Linked DNA regions of Saccharomyces cerevisiae S288C. Changing the gene in region 3 together with the main gene of any one other region gives a genetic interaction. Each region holds a gene or a part of one and is shown on either strand. Other genes may lie near its edges.

What was found.
Region 1: of SIR4 (region 3) and RAD53, a mutation in one rescues a mutant of the other (synthetic rescue), as found in Saccharomyces cerevisiae (3 studies listed by BioGRID).
Region 2: of SIR4 (region 3) and ULS1, changing one enhances a phenotype caused by changing the other (phenotypic enhancement), as found in Saccharomyces cerevisiae (one study listed by BioGRID).
Region 4: of SIR4 (region 3) and SAN1, changing one suppresses a phenotype caused by changing the other (phenotypic suppression), as found in Saccharomyces cerevisiae (3 studies listed by BioGRID, with this or other methods).

The regions. Positions count from the first base shown.
Region 1 is NC_001148.4:259,864-266,868, forward strand, and holds RAD53 (serine/threonine/tyrosine protein kinase RAD53), read right to left. Parts: upstream 4,330-7,005; coding exon 1,864-4,329; downstream 1-1,863. Other genes in the region: PEP4 (proteinase A), read right to left, coding at 1-1,068; YPL152W-A (uncharacterized protein), read left to right, coding at 4,739-4,837; peptidylprolyl isomerase RRD2, read left to right, coding at 5,165-6,241; mRNA splicing protein PRP46, read right to left, coding at 6,317-7,005. UniProt on the Saccharomyces cerevisiae protein: Controls S-phase checkpoint as well as G1 and G2 DNA damage checkpoints. Phosphorylates proteins on serine, threonine, and tyrosine. Prevents entry into anaphase and mitotic exit after DNA damage via regulation of the Polo kinase CDC5.
Region 2 is NC_001147.6:689,653-698,988, reverse strand, and holds ULS1 (translocase ULS1), read right to left. Parts: upstream 6,515-9,336; coding exon 1,655-6,514; downstream 1-1,654. Other genes in the region: THI72 (thiamine transporter), read left to right, coding at 1-221; SPR1 (glucan 1,3-beta-glucosidase), read right to left, coding at 6,957-8,294; IES4 (Ies4p), read right to left, coding at 9,015-9,336. UniProt on the Saccharomyces cerevisiae protein: ATP-dependent helicase involved mating type switching and in silencing interference through its interaction with the silencing regulator SIR4. Cooperates with UBC4 and UBC5 to mediate ubiquitination of SUMO conjugates.
Region 3 is NC_001136.10:914,815-923,369, reverse strand, and holds SIR4 (chromatin-silencing protein SIR4), read right to left. Parts: upstream 5,800-8,555; coding exon 1,723-5,799; downstream 1-1,722. Other genes in the region: PCF11 (Pcf11p), read left to right, coding at 1-1,444; adenylate kinase ADK1, read right to left, coding at 6,216-6,884; HTA1 (histone H2A), read right to left, coding at 7,442-7,840. UniProt on the Saccharomyces cerevisiae protein: The proteins SIR1 through SIR4 are required for transcriptional repression of the silent mating type loci, HML and HMR. The proteins SIR2 through SIR4 repress mulitple loci by modulating chromatin structure.
Region 4 is NC_001136.10:740,584-746,945, forward strand, and holds SAN1 (ubiquitin-protein ligase SAN1), read right to left. Parts: upstream 3,292-6,362; coding exon 1,459-3,291; downstream 1-1,458. Other genes in the region: PEX7 (Pex7p), read right to left, coding at 1-1,017; MKC7 (aspartyl protease), read right to left, coding at 3,728-5,518; TAF12 (Taf12p), read left to right, coding at 6,155-6,362. UniProt on the Saccharomyces cerevisiae protein: Plays a specific role in mating-type regulation of yeast, by acting post-translationally to control the stability or activity of the SIR4 proteins.

The DNA.
Region 1 (7,005 bases), on a different chromosome or scaffold from region 3:
TTCAAGCGTGTAATCGTATGGCCCAATAGTGAAGTTGTAGCCATTGAAGTTGAAAATTAGATCAGGTAGATTGTCTCTGGTGTTACAGTCTAGAGTATATTGACCGGTCCAACCCTTCTTGGCCCCAATTTCAGCATTAATCATTTCAGCTAATCCTGATGGCAAGGTAATCAAAGAAGTACCAGTATCGATGGCGGCACCATGGCTCTCCAATTCGGCGTACTCGTCGCCTAAACCGATACCTTCAAACTTGACTTCCCAGTAAGCCTTACGACGAACAGGTAACCAAGTGATATCGCCCTTGAACTTAGACTCGTCAATACCACCAAAGGTGGCTTCACCGCCATTTTCAGTATCCTTTGAAGTGTCTCCCAAATAAAAGGCAAATCTCTTTTCGTCCAACAAATCTTGTTGAATGGCGTTGTAAAATGGAGGGACCACCTTATCAACAGAAATGGTATCGTAACCCAAACCCAAAATACCATCGAACTTGCCAAATGCAAATGTTAAGCCCGGCTCGCTGGTAGCCTCAGCGAAGTCTTGTTTTGGAATGGTCAAATCCCCGATGGACAAAGTGTCTTGAGAAATGTAACCTTCCAAAGAACCAGTACCATATTGAATGGCAAATTCAGTACCATTAGCTTTGTAGCTTGATGAAGCTTCATGATCGTATTTAGAATGTAGGAAACAAGCCAAGGAACCACATTCGTTACTTGGAACCCAAAGGTTTGAAGAACCAGTATCCAAAATAACCTTGAAGTTTTGAGGTGGAGTACCCAAAGTAATGTCAGTGTAATATTGTGCGTTCAAGTAATTTGTCAATGGAACATCGTGACCACCTTCAGTGAAGAAAGGATGCTCCCTAGAAAAAACAACTTCGGGGTTAGCTTTCTCAAATTGAGTCAAGTACTTTTGGCCTAAATGAGCTAAATGTTGCTCGAAAGTGACTTCTTTCATCTCATCGGACAACTCGTGTTTATAAATTTTAGCCTTGTGGACTTTTGCAGCAACTTGGTTGGCGCTGACCAACAACAAGGCCAATGGCAATAATGCTTTCAAGCTGAACATGTTAGTTTTGGTTTTTGTTTGAATTTTATTTGGATTAAATACTAGGTCACTAGGCTTTTTTTTTTTCTTTTCTTATAGAATTCTAATAGAAAAAACTTTTTATGAATACAGTAGGGTGAGATATACTTTTTGTTATTCTTCCCTTACGTGGTAGGCTTCTCAAATAAAAATAGAAAAGACCACTAAAATTTGATTATAAAGGCTTCGCTCAAAAAAGAAGAAGGTGGAATGAATAAATAGCAGCGAATTACCCAAACTTCTTTACTCTGTTCCCTTAACCAGTTGATAAGAGGTTACGAAGTACGGAAGTATGGCTTTTTATATAAATCCTAAAAAGGGCCGCCTCCGCCCCTTAATCCATCGACACCCGCAAATGAAATATAGTACCCGGAAGGCATAAGACGGGTTACAGCCTCTCCATAGATTCAATAACCGCTTTTGGTTATAGAAATAATCAGACCTCAGCAAATACAATTGAGGAGCTCAAGATATTGAAAACGGATTAACAAACTTTTTAAAATTATTTATGAGCTTGTTGTACCACATCAAGCAGGATTATGTTTTTTTCAGAACTTCTTTTTCTGATTCAAAAATTCATTAAGCATAACTAAAACTGAAAATCAAAACTTATTAATATACAAAAATCTATATATTTCAAAATGTAAATCGTATCAAAACGTCACTCTATATGTAATAAAAACCCAAAAAGTTATGAATAGATGAATTCTGAGTATTGGTATCTACCATCTTCTCTCTTAAAAAGGGGCAGCATTTTCTATGGGTATTTGTCCTTGGTTACGAAAATTGCAAATTCTCGGGGCCTTTTGAGGTTTGGTCCAATTTTGCCCTTTTAACCTTCTTACTAGGATCAATTTGTGATTGCGATAAACTTACCGAATGTATTCTCTTCAAAATGTTCCCCGTATTCGCATTAATCGGTGACTCTACCAAGTCGTTTAGTACCGAATTATTGCCGTTATTATTTGTATCGCTAACTGGCGGCTTCTTAGCCGACATTGATGAAGAAGAAGCCGAGGGTTGATTTGCACGTTGAGCTGCCATCATCTGGGTTAACTTTTTCACCAAATCTTTTTCTTCGGCTGTTTGCTTAAGTACTACTCTTTGTTCTTGTAACATACCTAATCCCTCGTTAAACAGACCTGTAGTATCGTTAATTTCCACTTTAAAGCCAATGACAAATTTATTGTTTTTATCCCAAATGATCTTGATTTCATCTCCGTCTTGTAAAAGGAATTTCGTACCCTGTATCATGCGGTTATTATTTAAATAGCTCACGTTAGTTCCGGTGTGGCAATACCAAATATCATCTAAACCTTGTGCCGGAGATTCATACATGCTTTTGCCTACAGCATGCCTCTTTTTGAAAATGAAGCAATGAACTCGAGACAACCTATTGTCTTCAATTTTACAATTGCAATCCTCGGATCTACCAATGAAAAATGGATTCACACCTTGCTGAATCTCCAGGCTTTCTTGAATAATGCTGTCAGGCAATGGTTTTAAAGTTAAAAACCTACCATTACCCTTTTTCTTTGAGCTCTTGACATTCTCAGTATTATTGGAATGTAAAAGTTTTTGTTCTCTAGTTTCTGCTTCAATGCTTTTGGGCTGTGTATATCGAATAGGGGCGTGTGCGGGTATTTTAAATCCTTGAATTTTTCCATCTTGGTCTTCCTGATCCTGTTCTTGAAGTTGTTGCTCCATTTGTAATTTCCTTTGCGCTTTGACAAATTCGTATTGAGCATCGTCCATATTTTCTAATAATTTCTGCTGCGACAACGATTGTGATAAGGATATTTGTGAAAAATCACCATATGATTGTGAGCCCAATGGACTCATCTTGATCCAGGGATGATTCAAGGCTTTTGCAGCTGTCGACCTATTATTTGGATCCACCTGTAACAATGAATCTATGAAATCTCTTGCTTCTTCAGATATCCGGAAATCTTTGAGGGGCCCTTCATGATATGAGCCTCTTCCAATCTGTTTATATAATTGGTCCTGTGTGCTACCACTAAAAGGTAAGTGGCCCGTTAGGATAACATACACAAGACATCCCATTGACCACATATCCACTAACGAAGAGTACTCATTCCTTTCTTCGTATTCATCAGGAGATACGGATGTATCTTTACCTCTGATGACTTCAGGTGCCACATATGCCAAAGTGCCACAGAAGGTTTTCATAAAAGACCCATTTCCTTGTACTTTTGCCAGACCAAAGTCGGTTATCTTTACCAATACAGGATCGTCTTGTTCAATAAGAATATTATCGGGCTTTAGGTCACGATGGCTGATGCCCATAGAGTGAATGTATTTTATTGCTGTGAGTATCTGCCTGGATATCTCCCTCCCAGCATCTTCTCCAACCGCACCATGAGCAGCAACAAAATCCATTAAGTCACCACCAGAAACGAACTCCATCACCATATAATAACTCTCAGTATCTTCATAAAATCCTTTCAATCGTACTATCCTTGGATGATTGAGCTTTTGCAATACTTCTAACTCTCTTGTCACACCATCCATATTGCCTATTACTTTGCGTTTACTTATAATCTTCACCGCGAATGTTTTCCCAGTAGTTCTTTCAATGGCTTTCTTTACTGTGGCAAATGCACCCTGGCCCACCACTTCGTCAATAATCGAAAAATCCTTAAAAATACCAGTCTTGTTGGCCACCATTGATGATGCAGTAGATGATGTAAGACCAGGAGAAGCTATTTTAGAGGTATTTTTCAGGTTAGATCTTATGCGATCAACTTTGTTCTGCTCGAGGCACTGCTTAAATTTGTCGTTTATGAAAATGACCAGAGATAAAATATCTGATTCCACGCCTACACCAACGGTTATTTCATCACCTTGAGACAGTAACTGATTGCTGTTCTTCTCGACTTTTTGCCCATTTAACCAGGTCCCATTAGTGGAAATGTCATTCAATAAAAGGTTACCGTCTTCTCCTAGTAGTATTTGGAAATGCTTATTTGACAGTCTTGAAATGTTTCCTAAATGATAGTCACAGGCTGGGTTTCTACCAAATGTCCAAACTTTCTTTATGGATCGTTTTTCCTTAAGCACTTGTGAAATATCAGCTGACAAATCTCGGATGGGAATTTGACCCGTGGTACAAATGACCCTGCACACAATGTTTTCGCCGATCTGTTCTTGAGAAAACTTCTCAATCAAAAACCTTTGAGTAGCCTGCGTGGATTGCTGTGTGGGTTGTGTAATATTTTCCATTTTTAGTTGATGTTGTGTAACACTATCTTTTCTCACTATTCTCTCTTTTAAAGCTTAAGAAAATCGAATGCATATACAAAATTAGTTTGTCTTCCAATAATCTCTACCGTCCTTTTCTGCTTTCTTACCTTTTCTTGATCAGAGATTTCAAAATGGTAACTTTGGTACCCTTTATCTTCTCAACCTGTACCTTTATTCTATAAATGTTTTCATTTCCAAGTCTACCCACGGTGATGATTTTTCTGCCAATTTTACGCGTCACTCCCGTTGCCGTATCAACGCGTCCACACCACCTCACCCTCGAAATGAAAATAAATATGTTAATAGATGCACGTTTCATTGACATCTGTGACAAACACTTTCCGGCTTAATTAAAAGGAAGCAGGCTATTAATGCACCAACCAAACAAATGATGGTTCACCTCACGCTGAAATCTCATCTAATAAAGGAAGAATTACTTTGGCATGCTTTATCTCCGTCCTATAGTTGCCGATACCACGGTAGATAATACAGTATCATTCTAAAAGTACCATTTAGGTAGGTGCTGAGCGAACCAATAAGTAAGTTTTTGTTTTTTCTCAGTGTTTGCTTTGAATTTACATTGAAATACGTTGTTTTGGACGTACTACAATAGCCGCCATAATAGATTTTCGGGTAACTTTTACACTCTTCCCTCTCTTTCACGTGAGTAAGCACAGAATAAAATCCTAACGGATGTGATAGAACAAAAGGGATATCAATGACAAGAGAGAGGTACTTTATGTTAGTCGCCTGTGCAGAAAGAACAGTCCATAAACAACAATCCGTAAAGAACAATATAAATATTTAGAAAAAGATGTTGCCAGAAAAGAGACTATTGACTCCAGACGATATGAAACTATGGGAAGAATCCCCAACAAGAGCTCATTTCACTAAATTTATTATAGATTTGGCTGAATCTGTCAAAGGACATGAGAATTCCCAGTACAAAGAACCAATATCGGAGTCAATAAACAGTATGATGAACTTGCTTTCGCAAATAAAAGATATCACTCAGAAGCACCCAGTAATAAAGGATGCAGATAGCTCGAGATTTGGTAAGGTTGAGTTTAGGGACTTTTATGACGAAGTTTCACGGAATTCCAGGAAGATCTTACGTTCCGAATTTCCCTCTCTCACAGATGAGCAGTTGGAACAATTATCGATTTATCTAGATGAATCATGGGGAAATAAAAGAAGAATTGATTATGGTTCAGGTCATGAATTAAATTTCATGTGTTTACTTTATGGACTCTATAGTTATGGAATATTCAATCTTTCAAACGATTCAACTAACCTCGTGCTGAAAGTTTTTATAGAATACCTTAAAATAATGAGGATACTAGAAACTAAATATTGGCTTGAGCCTGCGGGCTCTCATGGTGTTTGGGGATTAGATGATTATCATTTCCTTCCATTTCTATTTGGTGCCTTCCAATTAACCACCCACAAGCACTTAAAGCCGATATCAATTCACAATAATGAGCTCGTAGAAATGTTCGCTCATCGGTACTTATATTTTGGTTGTATCGCTTTTATTAATAAGGTCAAGTCATCCGCCTCCTTGAGATGGCATTCTCCTATGCTAGATGACATCAGCGGTGTAAAGACTTGGTCAAAAGTTGCTGAAGGGATGATAAAAATGTATAAAGCCGAAGTCCTTAGTAAATTGCCCATCATGCAACATTTTTACTTTAGCGAGTTTTTGCCTTGTCCGGATGGTGTATCTCCACCAAGAGGCCACATACATGATGGGACTGATAAGGATGATGAGTGCAATTTTGAAGGACATGTTCATACTACTTGGGGAGACTGCTGTGGTATAAAGTTACCGAGCGCTATTGCGGCTACTGAGATGAATAAAAAACATCATAAACCAATACCTTTTGATTAGGAAAAGTCCATTTATAGATGCTATCTCATTGTATATACACGTATACAGGGTACGTACTTTTTCCATCTACTCCCACTAAAATCTTTTGGCGCTTAAGTTGGGGTTCCACGCTAGCCCCGGTTCTGACTCTTTTGTAGCCGTCTCATCCTGTTTCCAAATCTTTATGCTTTTGTCTGCTTCTCCAGTGATTAATCTTAAACCTGTTTTATCGAAAGTGCTACAAAGAACACTCCGTTCACCTTCCAGAGAGCCTACCATTTCTCTCGTGGCCAACGATTGGTATTTGTGACCAGACTTATAATCATAAAAGGAAAGCACACCATTGTCACCGCCAGCGAATAATACATCATCTTGATTAATGCTTAAAGTATTGATTATGCCTGTCTTTTCAGACTCAAAATTGGTGAGTAAAGACCCCTCTGCTAATCCCCATGATCTGATGTCATCAGTACACGCAGAAGCCACCGAAAACTCCTTAGGATGCAACGCTGTAGCTCTCACAGACCTCTTATGATGTGTTAGAACTTTCATTGTTTTCCCAGCAACTACATCCCATAACCTTACCGTAGCATCAGTCGATGAACTCACCACTTGAGGGTCTACTGGAGTACACTGTACTTGATTGATTGGACCCTTATGCCCAACTAGTGTAATAACAGGTATTCTGGTTCTCATATCCCAGAGTTTGATAACGCTATCTCGGCCTGCGGTAGCTATGAGATCCAGCGTTGGATGTATGCTCACCGTACGAACCCCCGATAAAT
Region 2 (9,336 bases), on a different chromosome or scaffold from region 3:
AGGGCATGGTTCCATACAGTGAAATTTCTGAAGAAGAAATCCGTGCTTACACATTAGGCGAATGCTTCACAAGTGGACACGAATACAAACCTGAGAGCTCCGATGATGAACTACCTGAGTTGACAAAAACTAGTTCAGAAAACACAAAAGTGTTTGAAATTGTTCATCAGAAAGATAATGAAAAGGAATCCTCTACTTCCAGTGAAAAACAAATTGCCTAATGAGCAAAAAACCTAATAAAATGATCATACTTAGTGTTCATTCAAGATCTTTCGCTAGTATTAAAATTCGAGATAATTAAACACACTCTTTAGTCCCAGGAAACACTACTATTAAGCTTGTTGGTCGTACAGGATATAGAGGTCATTTCGATTATTTCATTCTTCCACTAATGTTTGATTGACGATTCAGATCACTGTTTTTGTTTGGCTGATAATTGTAACAAGAAAAAAAAACTACCGCTTCTTTTCAGTATTTCTGTTGAGGATGATATTTTCATTGATTCTCTTATCAGCTTCAGTGCCGATATCCTATCAGGCTCTAGTAGGGCTGAAAATTAGGTGGAGGCGATTTTGTTACTCTTTTGTTCAAGTCTGAGCTTATGACGTCCTGCGACATACTTTTCTTATTACGTACTTATGATAAGTACCGGTTGCCTATGAGAGGAAATCGAAAGTCATTAAATCAAAAAAAAAAAAATAACTTGCATTGCATTGTGCGATTAAAGAGCAAAACTTATTTGATAAGAAACCTTTTCTAGAGCATCTGCGCCACTTATTTGAGAGGTCAAGTCTTGTTAGTGAGAAAGCGCGTGAAGATAGAAATTATAAATTACCAATTTATTTTCAGTATAGCCTTAGAAAACACAAAGGCACATGGTTGTATAGATCTATATAATGCACTGACTGTACCTTGTTGTAAGGAAGTTAATAATAAGCAACCTGTTCGGGCTGAAAATCCAAAAGAAAAGTTGACGGTCTATTAGTGGAACAATGAATTTGAACTTTACATATAAGGGAATGTGTCTTTACTTTGATCTTACAGCGAAAATTACTGAAATCACAGTTTACGTATAAAGCACCCCCAATCCACGTGTGTTTTATACGCTTCTCTTTTATAGGAATATAAGATCAGCTTTGATTATTAATTAATACTGTCATTTAATTGCCAGTTATCATCAAACGGGATATTTTCATCGGTTCATTAATGTATGGTAGCTGTTGCGAGCGTATAATTATACTGGCGTTTGAAGATTACATATATGATGAGAAACAAAAATCAAATTTAGTAACAACTGTTAACGATGCAATAATGAGTTAAAGCAATTAACAGGAGGGGGAAGCAATTATGTTATTCGTGGCATTGTTGATAATCTTTTGTGGATTTCCAAATCCAGGAGACGAGCTTCTTATATTGTATGTTACTAATGGTATTTTCTTTTTCAAAAAGTAATTCAAACGATCATATCAAATTTCGCATATTTCTTATACTTAAAGTAGGGCCGATTTACGGCTTATTTTCTGTTCCATTAAATGCCAAGCTCGTAAGTGCCAACGAGTGAAGTTACTTAAGCCTACAAACTAGAAGCTTAGCCACCAATTATCAACATATACATATGTGTATCGCAATAATGCTTCAAAATTCACCAAGTTCTTCAAAGAGCGTTTAAACCAAATAAAAATCCTAACTCCCGACGCCCTAAACTATTCACTTCCTTTATCTTGCCTGGGTCCATGGCAGAATCGACCATTTCCTTCTTTCTCTTCTGTAATTCAGAAATACGATCCTCAACAGAGTCCTTTATAAACAATTTATGCACCTGGACTTTTTTTGTTTGACTAATTCTATAGCAACGGTCTTGAGCTTGTTCTTCGACGTAAGGATTCCAAAATGGATCAACTATAACTACATGGTTCGCACATGTCAATGTTAGTCCTGAGTTACCGGCTTTCATGGAAATCAGAAGTATCCTTTTCTCAGGGTCACGATAAAATTCGTTGATAACATCTGATCTTCTCTGAGCGTTCATTGATCCAATATATTTCAAGTAGGGAAAATTCAGTTTATTTTTGAGAAAATGTTCGAGAATCTCAAAAAATGTTGTAAACTGGGAAAAAATAATAATTTTTTCGGTTGCTGATTCATCAAAAACTCTTTGAATAACCTGTATACATTGCTCTATCTTCGTAGATGGTTCTAAACTCTCAAAATTTGGCACATATACATTTTTTTGCTGTATTTTTTGTTTCTCCATTTCACTTAAATACTCTGCATGCAAATCTTCCTCAGTAAATCCCTGGTTTATTACCTGGTCGTATAACTTGTGCGAAACAATATCTTTCTCGTTTGTCAAACGTTGACAATCTTTGCATGGGATAGCAAATGCCCCACCTTTGGTTTTCTTGGCCTGAGGTAGCATGGATGACTCTTCGATGAAGGGCTCGATACAAGTGTCGCAAATCAAATGACCACAACCTGTCAGAACGGACATCGCTTCTGGTTCTAATTGTTCCATGCACCAGAAACATGTCATAGAATTCATTGAAGTAATAACCTGAGCCTGCGCTTCTCCGCTCATGTGAGTGATTTTATAGTAGAGCCTGAGCCAGTCATCTTCAAAGCTTTTGCCGTTAGCTACCTTTGTACCTTCCGCTTTTTTTTCTCCCATCACAACTAATTCTGAATGACAACAAGCCTGCCTTAAGCGAAGTAGTAATGTGAGAACGCTAGAGTAGCTCCCCCTCGTAGAATTGTTCAACAATTTCTTAGCGAGTGCTTGATTTTTTGATTCCAAAGCTGTGTAAAATTTTAATTCCTCTCCCTTCAGGCGTGATTCATCTACTTCCACAATTTTAGGAGGGAGCTCCAGTAAAGGTTTGCCGTCGATCTTATCAGCCTTAGACCGACGAAGCATAATGGCATTTAGAAGGACTCTAACCTTTCTTAATGCGTTTTTTCTATCCTCGTTATCATATTGATATTGCTTATTTCTCTGAAAAAACCTTCCAATGTCTAATTTAAACCGTTGCTCCTTGTGGTAGGGTGGAATTCTTAGAAATCTTATCAAGGAATAAAGCTCATCCATACTATTTTGAATCGGCGTACCAGACAAGACCCACCTATACATTCCATTTATAGTACAGCACGCTTTAGAAGCCCTTGTATTTTTGTTCTTGATGTTTTGGCCTTCGTCCAGTAAAATTCTGTAAAACGTTGAATCATTGCAGAAAAATGGAGAGTAGTATTCATTTGAGGTTTTCAACCTATTAAGAGCTTGTATATGAGGCACAGCTGGTAGCTGATTTTGTTCACCATCCAGTTTTTTCGGCCAATGTTTCTTAAATTCGTTTGCTAGAGTTTGATAAGATACCAAAACAGCATCATATCTTGCCAAATCCCTCCAGTGCTTAACTTTTCCGTTACCTGATCCTCCAAAAATAAATGTAGTAAATTTTGCGCGTTTTTTTACTTTCGTTTCTAATTCACCTTTCCAAACTCTCAAGACTGAGACTGGTGCGACGATCAAATTGGTTTTACATTTGGATTCCTCTGAGCGATTTGCTAACATCAATGCAATAGCTTGAATCGTTTTACCCAGGCCCATATCGTCAGCAAGCAGACCCCCTTTTTTTGCGGAGTTTTCAACTTGTAACAACCAATGCAGACCCAGCCTCTGGTGTTTTAATAAGTTTACGGTCATATCCTCGGGAGTAAGTGCTTCGCCGTCTATAATGGATTCAGATTGTTTGACATTCTCTAAAAGAGCCCTAATCTGTTCTTGATCTTCTGCTGCATGCATATTAGAGATGTGAAATTCATCTTGCATCGATAGATCATTGGCTGTAGAACTAGTATCTTCGGTATTTTCCACGATGTTCCAGTTTGAAGGAGGTCGTTGATCTGCGTTTACCGGAAATAAATAGCTTTGCTGCAGTAATTCTTCACTTGTTATTGGAATCTTATATCTTCTCAAATTTTCATATAGTCTGTCCATCTTAAGTCCTTGTTGTCTTAGCCCAACAACAGCTTTTCCGACGCCTTCCCTTTTTAAAGGAGTAGGTGGAAATCCGGTGTCAATATCTTTACGAAATTCTTCAATTATATTCAAAAATCGAGTAATCTTTCGTTTAGCATCCTCTGATCTAGTAGACTTTGATATGAGATCGCGTGCAACTTCGATGCTTTTAAAATATTGGGCTCTTCTGTCAGGATTGACAATGGCTGGATTAGAAAACTTGATGCCGTAATCTTGTAATGTTTCAAAAACAATGGGCATCTTTACACCGTTGGTGAACAATATTTGGGCCGATTCATGTGCAACGTGTCTTCTGTTTATATCTATTAAGGATCTTCCGTCTTCAAAAAAGTTTTTATAAGAGACCAAGTTGTCCAAATGTCTATAAAGAATTCTCTTCGTCATTTCTGTCCTGGATGTGTTCTTGGCTAATAAATCTTTTGCAGTATCAATGGACTTAATAAATAAATCTCTTTTGGCGAGAGGTTGCCGTACTATTGGCAATACACTATTGATATCAGTTGTGCGTTGGTCCCCCAGTTTCAAGTCATTCAGTTTCTGCTGGATCTCCCCTGTTAACTGCTTGTAGGTACTGAAGCTTAGGGTTCCTTCTTTTAACATTTGGTCTAGCTTTTCTTTCTCAGCCAGGCATTCGTTTCTTTTATTTACGGTCGCAGAAGCTTTACTATCCCTGGCTGACCGCTCAAGGGCAGCCAAAGATTTCTGCAGGTTTATATTTTTCGAATGCACAAAGGACTTCCATTGTTCGTTATAATTATACATTTTCAAATTGATTGAATCTAGCTTCGATTTTGTCAACTGTCTTTTTTCCTTCAGTTTGTTTAATTGGTTCTCAGCTTCATCAACTAATATCTGCTGAGTTGAGCTGATAGTTCTTCCCCCTCTAGCCATCGATGTCAACAATAACTGCCAATGTTTTTCAGCATCAGAGACCTCCTTTTCTCTTCTACTTAGTTTCCTTCTTAAAATTTCAGAGTTTGTCTTGCAGCAACTGAGAGCATTACGTAGTTCAGACTCTCTAGAATTCAAATCCTTCAATAATTTTTGATGATTTTTTTTTAGAGTATCAAGTGAACTGTTACATTCGTGTTGAGAGGATTGAGTAGCTTGTTCTGTCATGATAGTTCCTTGAAGAACTGACGAACTCGAGGATTGTGCGTCTGTTTCTGATGTAGGAATTGAATTGCTGCCACTTGCTTCTTTTATTACTGAGTTATTCAAGTCAATATTGGGTAGGTCAAGTAAAGATATGACTTCTGGTACACTGCTCCTAAGCGCATCAGCTGTATTTGGTTCAGAAACTTTCAAAGGACTTTCTATATCATTGATACCGGCACCAGATTCGTCCTCATCTGAAAGAATAATAATCGAGCTATTTTTCTGTTCGGAATCATGTGAATTATGTGTTGTGTGGTCCATATTTTTTGAGGGCAATATCGGTCTTTTAAGTATCTTGTTATCTGCAAAATCTCCGCTATGCTTCCTTTTAATCTTACGACCAAAATCGCTAATATCGACAGGTTGTTCACTAAAGTGCTTGAATAGTTCACTTTGTTCTTGCTCAAGTAAGGCAACATTATTTTGAAGTCCTGGAAGACGAACGGTCGTCTTCCCCTCTACTTTGGCCGTCTCGTTTTTAAGGGAACTCTCAACAGAGCTTAGATTGGACGGTAATGCTGGCGTTCGCTTTTCATTTACGATGTTAGGTATAGTGTTTTTGGAGTTATTTTGAGTTTCAGAATCCTGGAAAGCACTAGATTCAATAGGTAAATCACGATAACTTGTTGTTGTGACTCCTTTTATTTGGTCTTTGTTTTCGCTCTTCAAACTGTTATCTTTTGTTTCTGGGTCGCTGAACTGTTGCTGTGACGGTTTGTTATTCAAGTTTAACTTCTCCTCTTGAAAATCCAAATTGCTGTCCTGGCAAGTATTAGGCTCGAAATCATCTTCAACGCCATCGTAGTCTTTGGAGACGTATGAGGAAGAAATGCCACAGATATTTTCCTTCACTTGCTCATCCTGATTTATTCTTTTACCTTCCTCTTTTTGTTTAAAACTATCGGATAACGGCACATCATCGTTTTCATAAAAAAGTTTTATCATCTCTGCGCTTGGGCTGCTCTCTTGTGTTTTCTTCTCATCGTTGGAAGATCCCATCGTTTCTTCCTTCAAGACTTGCTGCTGTTTTACTTCGTTGGAAGATTTTTCATTGTTGAAGGTACTGTCTGTGATTGTCTTGCTCTTTGAAAGAATAGTATCGAAGGTTTCATTATTTGATATGTTCGTCTTGAAAACATGGAATGCTTGACGTGCTGCATCGTCATTAGATTGGGCGACTTCCAAGCCTGCCATTCTTAATTTCCCATTTTCTTTCCTAATGTCTATCTTATCCACACTTGTTGAAGACGAAAAAGAATGGAATATGTCTTCATTATCTGAATCGGCTAGTGTAAGGTCGATGGTGGGTACTGCTGCCATTTGACAGATGTTTAACCTAAAGATATAGTCCAGCGTCTCCTTTCAAGCACTCAAAAGATAGATGTAAAAATCGGTATAGACGCCCTGTCCTGTTCTTTCATAAAACTGCGGAGAGGTTTGTATTTATTTATTGTTTTTCTTCCTCTCATATTCGTTACATAGTCTAAGTAAACTGTCCGGTAATATCGAGAGTGACCCGTGTCTCGTGCTTCTCTTCCGCCTCACGTAATATCAACAGGTAATCATCATGAGCTCCCCATTCATAGTTCAGATAAAAAGTGAAGTAGCGGTTGATGGAAGCACTTTTATTTGCATAATTATAAGATATAAAGTATTTTTTATTTGTATACCTCATCATGTTATATAAAGAGTTTTAGATGGCAATTTTTTCTCCAATAATAATCATCACATTCCCAAGACCTTAAATATATGCCACAAAATTTCAATGACATTGGTTAGGATATTTCCTATCGTTGATAGGTTGCGGAAAAATGTTGAGTTGAATCAATTTTTCAACATCCCATTCGATACTATTCTCTGTCTTGTAACACCACATTATCCATCCACCAGTCATTTCAAAAGCATCTAATTGAGCCTCGATAAACTTTCTAGTGTTCTGTTTTCTCTCTTCGGGCCACAAGGCAATATTCTCGTTGTTTGCACACGTATTTATGTAATGAGATTTTTCATTGTCTTTGGTCCAACTTCCATCATATCTGGCACCTAGACCAACCCCATTTAACCACTTTGTACAATCTGTTAAGGCCGCTGAAAATTCGCCTGCTACGGACCAATGCTTCTCGCTTACGGCATCTTTCCCCCATTGGCAGGCGATTTTGATACGTTCATTCATTTTTCTTGTTAATTCCACCTGCGAGAACACCTGATAATGATGATGGTCAATTATGACGCCATATTCGTTCTTTTCATCATTCAAAAACCCATCCCAATAATGGTAAGGTTGAAAAGCATCATGTATTACAATGATCTGGTTGCTATTAATTTTATTTCTCAAATAGTCATAAGCCGGCTTCAAAAGCAAATTTTTCAATCTTTCCATGTCAATAACTGGACCTAACGGTTCATTGAGCAATTCGATTCCAATAACGGTGTCCAGGTATACGTCTGTTGAGTATTTGCTTAAAATATACGTTAAAGCTTTCATGGTGGCGCTTAAATTTTCATCTTCCAGAAACTTATATGAATCCCTCAACCCTGAGTTATCAAATCCGTTTTGTGAACCAGCGGCTCCATGAAGATCAATCCATACTTTCAAACCATATTTCCTAGCCCAATCGATAGCCCGGTCTAGAAAATATTCCTGCTCGGCGGTAACATAGGGATCATGACTCAACGTTGTAAAGGCCCAATACCCAATAGGAATTCTAACCAAATTGAAGCCTTGAGAAGCAATTTTCGCGAAGTCTTCCTCTTTATAGAACGTCGACCAATGACTATAAAGGCGTTCCTTTGCCTTTTCATAGCCTAATTTTTCACAAAAATGGTATTCATCAACAGGAATACCGTCATCGTTGTACGGATTAGTACGGAAAGTCTCGAATAAAGAAGGTGTAATATACGGCTCCAATACTAGCCACCCACCCAAATTGACTCCATGAATTTTTTCATTGATGGCTTGATTGTTGATGGCAGAGTATATACTATCCTTTTCTTTATAAATAAACTGTATAGAGTCCCTATTTTTTGTGGAAACAGGATTACAGTTTACTAATTTGGTAAAAAGTAGTGTTAGTGTAGTCAGCCCTCTGAACGAAACCATTTACTTCTAAAGTTTATAAAGATTTTATGCGGAGCACCTCAGTCTTTCTTTCGAATCTTTGGATGGTCTGTTCGCAATTGAACAATTAAAAGAGAAGGGTAAAAAAAATAATGAATGTGAGGTTGTTCTACGCATGGAAGTTGCTACAAAAGGGGTGGCAACTGATGGAAAGACTTTTTACACAAAGATTGACAGCATTACTGACAAATTTCTAATGAACCAGACGCGCCGCTTCTTTTAGTGTCGTTTGGTAACCGCTTTTTCTTAAGCTGGCAGAGACCGCCAAAAATAAGAGAGTCGCTTGTAGTGGGACAAATAATGAACAGAGAGGCTTTTTGATACCAGTATCGTTGAGTTGGGAATGAAATGAAATATAACGATGCAATCGTCGCCATTCCTGTCAGAATATAATCGACGGTCATGTTATATAATTGTTTTATAAACGCCCACTTCTTGGCTGTATCTTTTATAATGTCCTTTTTTCCTGAAGAGGGTTTCCATCTAATTTTCTTTTACAGTCTGTAGCCTTACTTCTGGCCCTTTAACTAAATACATTTGATTTATATTGCATATTTACTCATACAATTGTATATTTGTTGTTCTTTTTTGGTCGGCTACCAGATTTAGTACTTAATGTAACCAATTTGTGAATTTCATAAATGACGTGCCAAACTAGAAAGTGTGGGGCCCTGAGAACAACTTTAAGCTGTTGACATTACCTTATGAGTCCAGTCCATCCTCTCCTTCTTTTTCAAGTTGTTTTACTTCAGGATCCTCATCTGCTGGTTCTTTTTTCCTTGTAGCTTTGTCATCTGATCCTTTAACGTCAGATGCAGTAAACTCGCTTCCCCTTTGACGTTCTTCTCTTACGTCTCTTCTTATCCAGCCGGTGAAATTTACCTTATAACCACTGAAGCTCTTGATCTCTATGGCTTTATTCTTGTAATCCCACGGAAGTACAGGTTTGCTATTATCTCTCGAATTGGCAGAGGGAGGGCTTGTATCCTCTATTTTAGGGTTATTGGCTAGTTGTTCTTGCGAT
Region 3 (8,555 bases):
GCAAGCAATGTTACCAACTCCGACTGTTCCCCTCCTATTAAGAGACATTGATAAATTAACTTGTTTAACTAGTGAAAGGCTAAAGAATCAACCAAATGATGAAAAATTAAAAATGAAACTGTTGGTTTTATCTCAGTTGAAACAAGAACTGAAAAGAGAAAAACTAACTCTCAATGCTCTGAAACAAGTTCAAATGCAACTAAGGCAGGTCTTCTCACAGGACCAACAAGTTTTGCAGGAAAGAATGAGGTATCACGAACTTCAGCAGCAACAGCAACAACAGCAGCAACAGCAACAACAACAACAGCAGCAGCAGCAGCAGTATCACGAAACTAAGGATATGGTCGGTTCTTACACACAAAACTCTAATTCAGCGATTCCATTGTTTGGAAATAATTCAGATACAACGAACCAACAGAATTCTTTATCTTCCTCTCTTTTTGGTAATATTTCTGGCGTTGAATCTTTTCAAGAAATTGAGAAAAAAAAGTCCCTAAACAAAATCAATAACCTCTATGCATCTCTTAAGGCTGAAGGGCTCATATATACTCCACCAAAAGAATCCATCGTAACGCTTTATAAAAAGCTAAATGGACACTCAAACTACTCTCTTGATTCACACGAAAAACAATTGATGAAGAACCTGCCAAAGATACCCTTATTAAATGATATTCTTTCTGACTGCAAAGCTTATTTTGCCACGGTTAACATCGACGTTTTGAATAACCCATCCCTGCAGCTGTCCGAACAAACTCTTCTTCAAGAAAATCCCATCGTCCAAAATAATCTTATTCACTTATTATACCGATCCAAGCCAAATAAATGTAGCGTGTGTGGTAAGAGATTTGGCAACTCAGAAAGTGAAAAACTACTACAAAATGAGCATTTGGACTGGCATTTCAGAATAAATACAAGAATTAAGGGATCACAAAACACAGCAAATACAGGCATAAGCAACTCTAACTTAAATACAACTACCACAAGGAAAAATATTCAATCAAGAAACTGGTATTTGAGTGACTCTCAATGGGCAGCCTTCAAAGATGATGAAATTACCTCCACAAAGCATAAAAATGATTATACTGATCCGCATGCCAATAAAAATATCGATAAAAGTGCCCTAAATATTCACGCTGATGAAAATGACGAAGGCTCTGTAGACAACACTTTAGGAAGTGATAGAAGTAACGAGTTGGAAATACGGGGAAAATATGTTGTTGTACCAGAAACTTCACAAGATATGGCCTTCAAATGTCCAATTTGTAAGGAAACCGTTACTGGCGTTTATGATGAAGAATCTGGTGAATGGGTTTGGAAAAATACTATTGAAGTGAATGGCAAATATTTCCACTCGACATGTTATCATGAAACGTCGCAAAATTCAAGCAAATCTAATAGTGGCAAGGTCGGTTTGGATGACTTAAAGAAATTGGTCACAAAATAAGAGCAGAACTGCATATATACATTTAAATTTAATAACTATATATTATATTAAATTCTTTGTTCTTGGTATTTGATGGGTTGCTCATTTGTTTATTTTTTTTTTTTTTTTTTTTGCTTATGTGTCCATTATATTATATGTAATTTTACATATGTAGCCAAAAGCCCAACTAATCATTAAAATCGATTAAAGACCGTAAAGTAAATTGTTCATTATAGAAGAAAACGACAAAGAAAAACAGGGTACACTTCGTTACTGGTCTTTTGTAGAATGATAAAAAGTCAATACGGTTTTATCTCCTTATTCACTTGAAAATCTTTTTCCATCAATTTGTTAATTTTAGCATCTTTTTCAGATATTTGACTTCTCGCATTTTCAAGACATTTCTTTGTAAAAGTTAAATCACCTTGAAGTGAAGTTATTCTAATTTCATTCCTCATAACTTCATCTGACAAAGACCGAATAATTTCATTTGCAACAGCCAATTGTTTTTCCTTTTCATCCAGCGCCGATGCTGCTTTCGACAAAACGATATCCACAAAGGAAAGACCATCTTCTTTCATGTCCTTCGAACATTCGGTGACACTATCCTTATTATCAATTTCAAGTTCTGTTTTTTGGGTTGATGTGTACATATTTGATTGTTGAGTACCAGTTTGTGAATGTGTTCCTAAAACGTCAACACTAGTTAAAATTTCTGTTGTATTACTGTCTGTTATATCGTCGAGTTGTTTCACTCGACGATCTTCAACGATTGGAACCCTTTTTCCAACAGAAAAATAGCCGTAGGACGCAGGTCTTGAGAAAGAGAGTGAGATGTTTTCTGATGCGTGCTTCCCATTTCCAGGGATTATTTTTGCTTTGTTAGAATTAAAAATACTGTCGAATTGCTTCTTTTCTGGTAGGGTTTTCGTTTCCATTGTGCTCAGCTGCACCAAAGACTTCACATCTGGCGGAGAAGAAGGCTTCACATTTTTAACCATTAACGGTTTTTTTGTAATTTGCAGTATATCCTTAGGCATAATTTTGGCATCTGCCATATGCTCGGGCTCGACCACATGTGGTTTGACCGACGTGGATATAGAAACAGGTTCACAGGACTTCTGAATATCAAATCCCATGTTGGAAACAAATCTCTGAGTCTTCATAAATGACCAAAATCTGGCTTTTTTTGCATCAGGCTTGTTCTGTAATTCGTTGTAGTAAATCTTAATTTCAGAACTCATTGGGTAATCTTCTATTTCACCTTTCAGTATAATGATGTCACTCTCTCTAAAATTATTGGAAATTGCTGATTTAAGGTTGTTAGCAAATATATCTTTAAGTAACTGCATTTTTTCGTTAATTATTTGTCTATCACTGTCGGAAAGCTCCGAAGGGAACTCATCAACCAACGAAACGGAAATAAGTTTCAAATTTGCAAGCCATTCTTGCCTCCAAGAGCTTTTTGAAAGGTTCTCCTTCGTGTTTTTGGGTTTGCTAGAATTAGTATCACTATGCGACACTCTTCTATTGCTTTTAGTAGGCGTGGTACTTAGCTTTGTTTCTTCGAATCCTAATGGAGAAGACACGGTTGGAATTTGGGATGGTTTAGCGGAAGAAGAATTTTGTTCTTGGCTATGTTTCCCTATATTGATATTTTTATTGGTCACATCATTTTTTTCAGTGTTATTTGTGTTTTCAAATGTAGAAACTGCATATAATGGCAAATATTGTAATCTGTCCTTCTTGTGCACTTGTTGGTAAAAGAAAGCACTTGATGTTTCATAGTTTTCAACAGAGCAAATGTCGTTAGTCACACTAGTTAATGGATTGCCACTTAAATAACTATGTTTTGGGATCCCTTGTTCAATAAGGTCAGTTATTGTTTCTTTATCGTATGTCGTTTTATCAGCTATCCTCCAAAGAATGTTTTTCGTCAATTCACGATCAGATTTTCGCCAATCCAATACAGGATCAAACCATTTGCCTGCCTGAATTTGGTCCTTTTCAGCACTTGTATCTAAATCATTAGTTACTTTGATTTCATTTGATTCACCAGAGCTTAAACTTTCCAAGTCAGTTAGGCTATCATTATCTGAAGAAGAATCGTCTGAGTCGGACACGTATACCAGCTCCATTTTTCCCGGGTGAGTTATTATCGTATTCATTCTCCCACGGCAGATCTTCTTTTTTTCAATTTGCTCATCCTCTGTATGATTTGCGAAAGATTTCTTTGAAGGTTGAGATAGAGAAACTGGAAAATTATCGCTATACTCATGCTTACTTGCACTAACTGGCTGAGATAGAGACACCTTATCAGTCTTATTTTCTGGCTTTTCAGTGGAAGCGATAGTTTCCAAAAAATTGGCTTTTTCTTTTGACAGAGCATCACTAGAAAAAGGTTTGCTTTCACTTTTAATGAAAGGAGCCTTGAGTACGTTTGAAAACAAATTTAATAAAGATTTGCTTTCAACAGCCTTGGAAACCGGTTCATCCTTTGATTTAACATTCTCCCGGTCAATCTCTGAGGATATTTTTGGAGCAGATTCAACCTGAAAAAGGTCATTAGTTCCAATTTTTATATCTTTTTTTTGTGTAACTTTATGTGTGGAAGGAAGAGCAGTGTTTTGTGATTTATTTAAAGGGTTTTGAATAGTTTTCTTAGCCTCATTTGATGATTCTTTCGTATGCAAAATATCTCGCACAATTTCCTTAGGCTCTAATTTCTTTTGGATGTTTATTGTACCGTTTGAGATATTTGGAGTTCGCCCTTCATTAGGCTTATGCTTTTTCATAGGATTCGGTATTTCTCCTAGCTGGGGCCTCTTTGATGGTGTAACATTCAGGGTATTGTTTCTCGAATCAATGTGGGATTCTCCTTGTACTTTTTGAAGCACTTTTCGACCATCTATTCGTACACTCTGTATCTGCTTTGTGGTTTCTTCGGTTACTTTGTTTACGTGAGCTTCAGTGCTCATGATTTCAGGCGGCCTCTTACCAATTTTCTTGTTTTCACCATTTTTATTCTTTGCAGAAGTGTTCATATCATTTTTCTTTTCTGTGCTTCGAGAAGTAGAGTTATAGTTGTTTTCTTGGCCTTCATATTCAACAAGAAAAGCAAGTTTTGTAGTTTCTTCATCTCTAGTGGAAAAATTTCGGCTGTTTCTACGCCCTTGAGGTCTGTCAGCTGGACTTTTCGACAAATGAGGTGACTTTAAGATTTCCATCCTCTTGAGGTCGGCGTCTTCCTTCATTTTTTGTTCAGATGTTATAGGCTGATGCTTCGAAGGTGCAAGTGTTTTCTCATCGTGCAGTGTTATTTTATCTTGATCAATGGCGACTTTTTTTGGAGATGGAACGATCTTCTTTGATGTTAGAGTTTCTGTCGTGGCTGACGTCCCATTGGTATCTAAGGCCGATGCGACCGTACTATTTGCACTATTCTCATCTAATTTTACTGGTTTTTCTTGATTTATTTCTAAACGCTCGTTAGTAGATTCCTCATTTATTCCATACACTTCTGTTTGTATGGCATTCGGTTTTGCAATTCCAGGACTTCTTGCCTTGCTCTCCTCCGGTGATATACCACTGTCACCGGCACTAACCTTCGGAACTGATAGTGAATCAGAATGGGCAAAGTTTTTACCTATATTCAACTTTTCTTCTTTTTTTTCTTCTACGGTATCTTTCCTGATAGATTTGTCCTTGGTCAAAGAAATCACAGAGGCGCCGATGTCTGCTGATCCTTTTTTAAGTGGCTTCTCTAAAACAGGCTGTTCGTTTGCCAAGTTTATGCCTAGAATCTCTTTAGAGTAATCCCTTATTTTCTCTTCACTTAGTAAGCTTTTTACTCCTGATAAAAATGAGTTATTGGTTTGTGATGTTGATATCGGTACTATGGTACGTACAGGCTTTGAATTGAAGGTAGAAGTTTGTTGCTGCGCATGCCGGGAAAATGCTGTTTGTTCAAAACTTGCTAGAGACCTGCTAGCATCATGTGAAGGATTGTTTGATTCAATTCTTCCTGCTGACGTTTTGGACCGAAGAAGGGAGAGTAGTTTGCTGTTGCTTATTTTTTCCAGATTTGAGTGAGGAAAAGAATTATAGTTATTTTTTTTCAGTGGTGAGGATTTTGGCTGTTGCAACTGTTTATGGGAAGTCGGTTTTACATCACTTGGTTGATGAGGTGAGGTATGAATTGCGGTTGACGGCCTTGAATAGTTTTTGCTTTTGGCAAACGTGAATAATGGAATTTTAGGTGTCTTCACTTCATTGGATTTTTCTTCTCTTTCAGGAATTTTATCATTCGGGGTTACTGGTTTTTTAGTAAACTTGGGAGTGCTGGACCTATTGGGTGTCTTATTGTCATTTGGCATTGGCTGTTTTCTTCGCTTTTTTGGTATTGTGGGTTGAAGCTTCCTTTTTTTTTTTATCCCCTGCAAAACGATGTCCAGTTAGAACTCTGACTGAATTATAAAACCTGAAAAGCGCTTATTTCGTTATAGGTTTATAAAAAGCTTCACTATTACTGTTATACCGTTTTTGTTTATGTGATGCGCTTTTGTTCATCTATTTAGTAATATGATTTGCGTTCGTTCTCAACGATAAAAATATTGACTAAGTACTTAATGGCAGTGCACATGTTTAAGGACGTTATAGCCAGTTACAAACACTTATGTTATTATTTCATTTATAGTATACTGCGGATATATGTACTCACATACAAAAATTTATTATATTTTCATTAATTTAAAAAAAAGAAAAGATATTTAGAAGACATTGCGCAAGGTCATTAATCCTTACCTAGCTTGTTCAAGATGTCAGCCCAAACAGTAGCAGGAGGTTGGGAAGCATCAACACCAGCCCAGATACCGGTCTTTTTGTAAAAGTCAACAATTGGTTCGGTTTGAGCATGGTAAGCAGCTAATCTCTTCTTCAAGGCGTCTGCATTGTCATCAGATCTTTGAACTAAAGCTTCACCGGTGACGTCATCCTTCATGTCTTCCTTTGGTGGGTTAAAGATCTTGTGGTAGGATCTGCCAGAGGCTGGGTGAATTAATCTACCGGTAATTCTGGCAACCAACAATTCATCATCAACCTTCAATTCGATGGCTTTTTCCAAAGGAGTTCCTTGTTCTTTCAACATTTGGTCCAATTTTTCAGCCTGAGGAATGGTTCTTGGGAAACCGTCCAAGATGAACCCATTCTTACAAGCTGGATTGTTGGTCAATTCATCCTTGATCATGTTAACCATAATGTCATCAGAGACTAAACCACCTTGGTCCATAATTTTCTTTGCTTCCAAACCTAATTGAGTGCCCTTTGCGATTTGAGATCTCAACATGTCACCAGTGGCCAAGTGAGCGGCATGGAAACGCTCTTGCAAATTTGGAGCTTGAGTACCTTTACCGGCACCAGGTGGGCCAATTAGGACCATTCTAATGGATTCTGAGCTAGACATTACTGTTATATTTGATGCTGTGTGGTGACTTTACCAGAGAAACGTTAATGTTTCTTTATTAAAGCTCTCGTTTCTGATAAACCAGGTAATCCATTTCAGAAATTTATGCGTATATATATATACAAATATGCGTAATAAAACTAGCCAGAGTGAAAAAGTCGAAAATCAAAAAAAAATGGGCGAATAAGGACAGAAGCCGCGGGCTGCTGCGGACAGTTCTCCGTGACAGGATCGCGCAATCGTGAGCTTTTTTCCTTTGGTTGTGAAAATTTCGTCACACTATCAAAGTGAACAAAGCACAGAATGTGTTTGCTACTCAATCATGTTCAAGTAAGCAACAGTGCCCAATGAACCTAAACAGAGCAACAGAGAAAACAGGAAGACACAACAAAAAATTTATATCATGCATGACATATGTTACCGTTAATTATATACCCAATAAATTATATATAGAAAAATAAAAAGGAAAAACAGAAAGGTCTAATAGACACTTAATATAGTTACAATGGAGAAGCAGTTTAGTTCCTTCCGCCTTCTTTAAAATACCAGAACCGATCTTATAATTCTTGAGAAGCCTTGGTAGCCTTGGCAGACTTCTTTGGCAACAAGTTTTGATGGATGTTTGGCAAAACACCACCTTGGGCAATGGTAACGTTACCCAATAGCTTGTTCAATTCGTCATCATTTCTGATAGCCAATTGCAAATGTCTTGGAATAATTCTGGTCTTCTTGTTATCCCTAGCAGCATTACCAGCTAATTCTAAAATTTCAGCGGCCAAATATTCCAAGACAGCAGTCAAGTAGACTGGAGCACCAGAACCAATTCTTTGGGCGTAGTTACCTCTTCTTAGCAATCTGTGCACTCTACCGACTGGGAATGTCAAACCAGCCTTAGCAGATCTAGATTGAGAAGCTTTAGCAGCTGAACCAGCTTTACCACCTTTACCACCGGACATTTTATATTTTATATGTATGAAATTTGTTTGTTTTGAAGTTGTTTATTCACTGAGAAATAACCAAATCCGTATGATGATGTAGTATCAAGAAGAGAAGTACAGATTGGAAGTAAATAGATGATGGTTCAACAAGACCAGAAAATCTACAAGCTGATTAGGAGTCTTATTTATATATTTTTTAGGTCAAGACTTATTGCTAGTATTTACGATCCACTGGCTGGCTTCGTGAACGGGGAAGGGGGTGAGAAAAGATTTTGAAATCAACAAAGTGGGCAATAACAAATAACAGCATGAGAAACCACATATCTCTACGGGCGTTTCTTCAACAACGACGAGTTAACTATTGTGCTCTTTTTTTGAGCCACCAAATACACTCCATTCCAATAGCTTCGCACAGTGAGGCGAAAATTTTGGAACAGCGCTAATGAATTATTTGTGAGCTCGGCGAGTTCAAATTTGAAGAAAACGCGGTTGGGTCGTTAACTATGGTTAGACGCTCAATGTCGCCCGAAAGGGAAGGCTGTTCTCACTTTTTCGCGCGTTGCACCCTTTCTTCCGCGAAAAAATGAGAACGATGGATTTAAAATCAAGAGAATTGGCCTTAGTAGTGGCAAATACTACCTTGGTTGGTTATCTTGTAACGATTGGTAAGAAAGGGGCATCTCTGTTTTCTTGATGTATATAAACAACATGATTTGATCATCTCAGATGGTCA
Region 4 (6,362 bases), 170 kb from region 3:
TGTGAAATTGAAAATGGAACCTTTAGTAGCATCCGTAGAGTTAGTTTTATATGTTTCTTTTGCACCATCGTTGCTGAGATCTCTCCATATTCGACAGGTCATATCATATGAAGCTGACATTAAAATATTGGAATGATGAGGGGACCAGGTAACTTTTCTGATTGCCAGCCCGTGCGCATTAGGGATTTCATTGATGCATGATGAATTGTGAAGTTGGCCGGGCACAGTCCTCTTGATAGTCGCTGATTCATTTTTATTTAGCATCCTAATGTCCCAGATTCTAATGGCATTATCTACACCTCCTGTGGCAACTACATAAGGTCTGTATTTGTTGAAATCGCAAGTCAATGCTTCTAGTCCTGAATGCACTAAAAAATTATTCTGATTTTTGCCGGAAGGTAGTCTAATGTCAAATAAGCTTGCATAAGAATTCCCTGAACAGGATAATACGAGATTTTGGTCGTGGGGCGAGAACTGTGCTTGGTATACACAGTTCCTGTTTTTTGAAATACCTGTAAAGCTTTTCTTTTTCAATATAATGGCGTTTAATGGATCCACCATTTTGGTAATCTCTAAAGGTCGTGGAGTAAGGGTCATTAAACTTTGCTTTCTTAGAGGGGACCATATTTTTATAGATCCATCCCATGAACTACTTAAGAAATTCTGCCTGTTGACTAAGTTCCAATTACAACTGAATACTTCTCGTTCATGCTCTTTAAATATAGCAATAGGAAACTCTTTAAAGGTTGTATCAAACAAGCGTAATGTACCATCGCCCTGTGCAACCAACACTTGGTTTTCATGACTTTCGTTCCATGCAAGATCAAATAAACAATCCTGTGTTAAAAAGGAATTAACTTCCACTATTCTACCTGAACGATCAATCTCAAGGATGAACAATTTTCCATTCCCAACCAGGCCAAAGTTTGAACCAGCAGCTACCGCGAGCCTGTTATCGAAAAAGGGAGAATACTGGACACCGTACCCACTAAAACCTTGCATATGATATCTGAGCATGTTGTATAAATTATGCAAAAAGTTAGATGATAGTCCGTTAACAATATGAGATCTCTGCACTTTTCGAGCGTCGAATTCCAAATCAGAAAGAAAACGATTTCGACCTCCGGTAAAAGATTTTATGGTAAGAAAACACAGTTTGTGTTCCACAGTTCTTAAAAGTGTTTTCACCTTTTACTGTTTTGCGAAACGACTTTTCAGAGGAGGTTATGTCGGTGGTTTAATTTCTCGGCCTTCATATTTACTTGCTGGAGACATGCAAATTTCTGATTAACAATGATTATAGAACTTTAAGTAGAAGTAAAGAAAAATAAGTATATGATATATATATATAAAGATGCAGATAAAAAAAAGGTAAAAGGAGTAGAAAATAATGTCTGAAAATGGATGACTGCCAATAGGACATATTTTCATATTAACATACTTCAGAAGCGGTATTGTTTATTGTGATGATCGTTGCTCATTGTTATCATTAGGGACGTCGTTATGAATGGTGGTGTCCGAACTGCTTGAACCTTGGCCTTGAGAGGGATTTTCGTCTGTAGGAGGAAAGGCAGCAGAATTGTTGTTGCGTAGTTCGACGGTAGTAACATCACCATTTTGATTTCTATAACTGGCAACACCGGAGGAAAACAAGTTATTTCTGTTGTTCTCACCAGTACTTCCACCTCGTTGTTGATCATTGCTATGGTTATTGTCGTTATTGTTGTCTCTTGAGCCATTCGTAAAATGGCCTGTTAATCGTGAAATATTTTCCAAAAAGGAACTTCCTTGCGTTGTATCAGAGGACGATGAGTCATTACGTCCTTGGTTGTGAACAGTTTGTGCTCCGGGTGCTGTTGTTGCAGAGGTATCAGAAGTTCCCCTCTGAGCAACGTTGAATATGTGATCCAAAACGGCTCTTAGTCTGTTGTGGTGAGGGTCTGTAGCGTCACTACTAGTGTTATTTGAGTTTGGACCGTTCGCTGCTGATGGGCTTGCCGAAGAATCAGAAGCGGAAGGATTCGGATTTGGACTGTGGAATTGGAACAAAGTCAAAGGGATGGGAACCCAGCGCGGACTTTGATTGTTATTCGAACCACCAGAATTAGAGGGTGGATTTTGAGTAGTTGAGCTCGGCCCGTTGACACCGTTTCTATCGCTATCATTAGGCGGTAAACGGACTGGATTGTGTAAAGGTTGGCCGTTTTGAGGCACTAAAAAAAAGCCTGTTCTTGATAACATCTGTTCGCCAGAACTTGCATTTCCGATAGTGGGAACCGTTGTATTGGACGTGTTTTCGGATGGGGCGGAACTATTTTCGTTAGTGCTATTCACTGCAGTTGGGTCGTATAAAACTCGTCTAATACGTTCAAAAGCAGCTTCGTTAGCTGCTACTTCATCCGTATCTTGTTGGGCTGCACGTTGAACACCTACAGATTCGCTGATCTTTTGTCTACAAAGGGGACAAGAATTTTCTAATCTTGACCATTTGTAGATACATTCCCTCCCAAAAATGTGGCCACAAGGTAACTTGATTGGTGAGTGTTTGTAGCTTGGATTTGTTTCTTCATCATTGAGAGTGCGTTGTTGTTCAGTGAGAGGAATAGAAGGCGGTTCAACAACCGTAGCATTTGTAATCGATGGGTTACTGTCATTATCGGCGGTTGTGCGTAGGGGCGCACCTTCATTATCCTTCCTTTTTTTTGTTCCTTCAGATTCCTCCTCATTTTCAGAATCCCTTTTTCTTTTTGCTTTAGTTGAATCAACTTCATCTTCATATTCGTCATAACATATACTACATAAGGGCCCTTCGGCCTTGGGTAGATCAGAAACTTGCAGAACGGGGAGCTTATCAAACTCATCCTTTGATATTCCTTTTGGTCTATTTAATAGTCTGTTGAATCTCTCCATTGCAAGCTGAGCAGCAACAGATATGAAGCTGTTCAAACGGTCTTGTGGAGTAGACGCAGGAACATCACGAAAAGATAAAACAAGAGCACCGTCGGGTTGATGGCCCCCATTTCCGATGCCAAAGCTGGGCCCAGTACCGTTGGCAATCGTGCTACCGGATGCTGCGCTGTTGTTTTCGTTATTATCATTATTAGATATATTGCTCAAATGTGCTAATCTCTCCGGAGTGAAATAGGAATACTGAATGGAAACGGTTATGTTTCTTGTTTGCTCAGCACCACCATTGAGTGGACCGGAAGCTGCATTTGAATTATTATTATTTTCAGCATTATTTGGTGATGTATTTGTGCCTCTGTTTTGTTCTTGACCACTTTCACTCATAATGAACAAAAGCTGAGGTTACAAGACTATGAGAGAAAACAAAGGGGAAAAAAGGGAGAAACGAACTATCCTGAAATGCTAAATAATTTCTATCTATAGTAGCTTCACTAGAGGATATATATGATAAACTATATTTCCTTCAATATATAGTTTTTAGCTATTATTTCATTATTGATTTGGTGATACTAATGCAATGTAGTTATATGTAAAAAATTCTTTCATATTTTTTGACAATGGCAGATAGAATGTTTTACCCGGCTTTTTGCGTCGAAGTATATAATTGTTGATTAAGAAGCCAGTAACAATAAAAAAGAACAGTATTATTTATTTTACGTTAAAAGACGCTTTTCTTTCAAGTAATGTACAATGTTATACCTCCAGATATACATTGCAACTTTTAAAGTCTAGTAAATGCTTATATGGAGGGAGGGATTTATCAAATGTGATGAAAAATAGCTGTAATGAACCTGGCGAAAAATGGAGGATTCAGATTGTGTCCTCCGTTTTCTTTTCTCGTAGATGAACTTGAGGTGGGAGATAACATTCCTGTTGAGGAAGTACTTGAGGTAGATTTTGAAATAGAGAGAGCTGTCGTACTTGTTTGGGTTTTTTGGCCTTTGGAGCTGGAAGAACTTGTTGCCGAATGAGACGTGGAAGCAAAGTACGATATACTGGAGTTAGCTGCCGTGGAAAACATGTTGCCGCCGGAGACAATACTTTCATATGTAGACCAAGTGCTTGAGTAACCAGGTGCTTTAAGAGCACTTGGAACCGCGCTCTCTATAATCTCAATGTATTCACCGTCGTCGCTGAAGTTAGCCTGAGCCATTGATATCTCCATATTGTCCAGATCATATACCACGTAAGTATTAGCTAAGAAGTTATCACCCAAAATAATGGTCGGATCTGACTGCGGTGCAATACCTAGTATACAAATGTTTGAACGACTATCTGTGACTAGCTGAAAATCGCTTAACCAATTAGAAAGATAGAATCCACCAAAATCAAAGATGATGCTACTCTCTTCTTCCATCTCTTTGATACAATCCATTATGTAGTAACCATATGCAGAAGAGTAAGTAGCTCCGACCTGGTCGGCAAGCATTTTTACCAGCTCAGTTGGCATATACGATATGGTCGTACCTGAATCTAGCAGGACTGGGATCTTTGTAGTGGTTAGGGTTGTCAGATTGTCTTCTTTATCCCCTTTCGACGTACCTAATCCTTGTAAAGTGACTTGGAATTGAATTGGATCCTTGTAGCCGCGATGCTGCAAAGTATTAATGATGGGAATTGTGTATAGGTCGCCCGCATATTTTCCATGATCCACAGCGCCAAACAAAATGGTACCATGTTTCGAATCAGAATCATTTGCGAATAAAGAATAAGCTGTTGATTTTATTACACCCGAATTCTTTAGCACCATCGGAAAGTTATTGTAAGTGTAGCTTTTTTGTACAGAGCTGAGAGAAACACCAGAATAAGTTGACTCCAAGCCAGGCAAACCAATACCCAAGACACCAACTGTTGAGTTTGTTTCGTTTGCTACAGCAAATGATAAACCCGTAATGTTCAAATCGTTCAAGCTCAATTGATCATGGCCCCAGGTACCAGATGCAAAAGTCGTATCACCATAGGCGATCGAAAATTCTGTATTATTGGAGTTGAATGTAGACGACTTAGAGGTATTAAATGTCCCGTATGTAGCGCAGTCAATTAACTGTGATGTAGAAGCTGTACTATCAAAAGTAGCAGTGGCTTCGCTGGTAACTATAGTGGTGTCGTAGCTAATTTCAGTAAACACACTCTCAACCACGCTAGCCAAAGCATCCTTGTTTACTTGTTTAAAGGATGAGCCAGTGGTATCCTTCTTTTTAGTGGAACAGTATGGGTTGTCTGAACCCGTGACCCATAGATCAGAAGAACCAGTGTCGACAAGCACAGTAACTTTTTGAGGAGGGGTGCCAATATCTAATTCCACCGAATAAAAACTGTTTTGATTAGTCAGTTCCACCAGCTCGTAATCATCATCTCTTGTCATCAAACGCGTTCTACCTTTTGTATCATCCAAAGCGTTTTCAAATGAACTGCCGTATTTCTTCTGAAAATTCATTTTGACATAGACTTCATTACTTGGTAAGGATGGAAAATCTGTAACACCGGCATCTACTATTGAGCTGCAGACAAGTAATGCATCTACGACAAATGTGAGGACAGATAATTTCATAGAGCTCTTTCTTTTTCGTTTATTTTTGACGTATTTGCTCAAGCGAATAACGACAAAAGCTTGTTCTCTCGTTGATACTTTTAGCCAATTACAATTTCTTAGCAAGAACGAGTGACGCCAACCAAATTTCTCCCAAAAGTGATTATCTGAATAATGAAAGATGGTAGGAAATAAGGTATTGAAACAGGTTCAAAACTTTAAAAGAAAACTGCCAAATAAACTTTCTCGATGCGTAGCTGAAATTTCAACTTCAAAAAAAAAAAAACGCGTGTAACTTTCTACGTGCAAAACGATGTGTATGAATCCCGTCTTAATTAGTAAATAGGGTCTAGTAAGCGTAGCGAGGATGAATTAAATGCATTGTTGAATATGAAGAGCACCTTATGGTATATAAATGTACAATCTTGATTCATGACAGCTTTGCAAGTAAACGTATCAAATGAATATCACGATTTTGGCTGTATTACCCGGGCAGTATACGCGGCGAATTTTGTTAAAAAATGTGTTAGACTTAAGTCGGAGCAAATGAATAATGGGCATATATAGCGCATAGGTTCGCTAGTGTAAGACAGGAGACTGTCCAATAGCATTCGAATCATAACCGAATCTTTGCCAGTGTGTGTATAAAATACGACAATGTCTTCCAATCCAGAAAATTCTGGTGTTAATGCGAATAATAATACGGGCACTGGTAACGCTGATGCGATCACAGGAGCTCAGCAAAATATGGTACTGCAACCGAGACAGTTGCAAGAAATGGCCGCTAAGTTCAGGACATTACTGACTGAAGCAAGAAATGTAGGTGAAACTACTCCTAGGGGCAAGGAATTGATGTTCCAAGCCG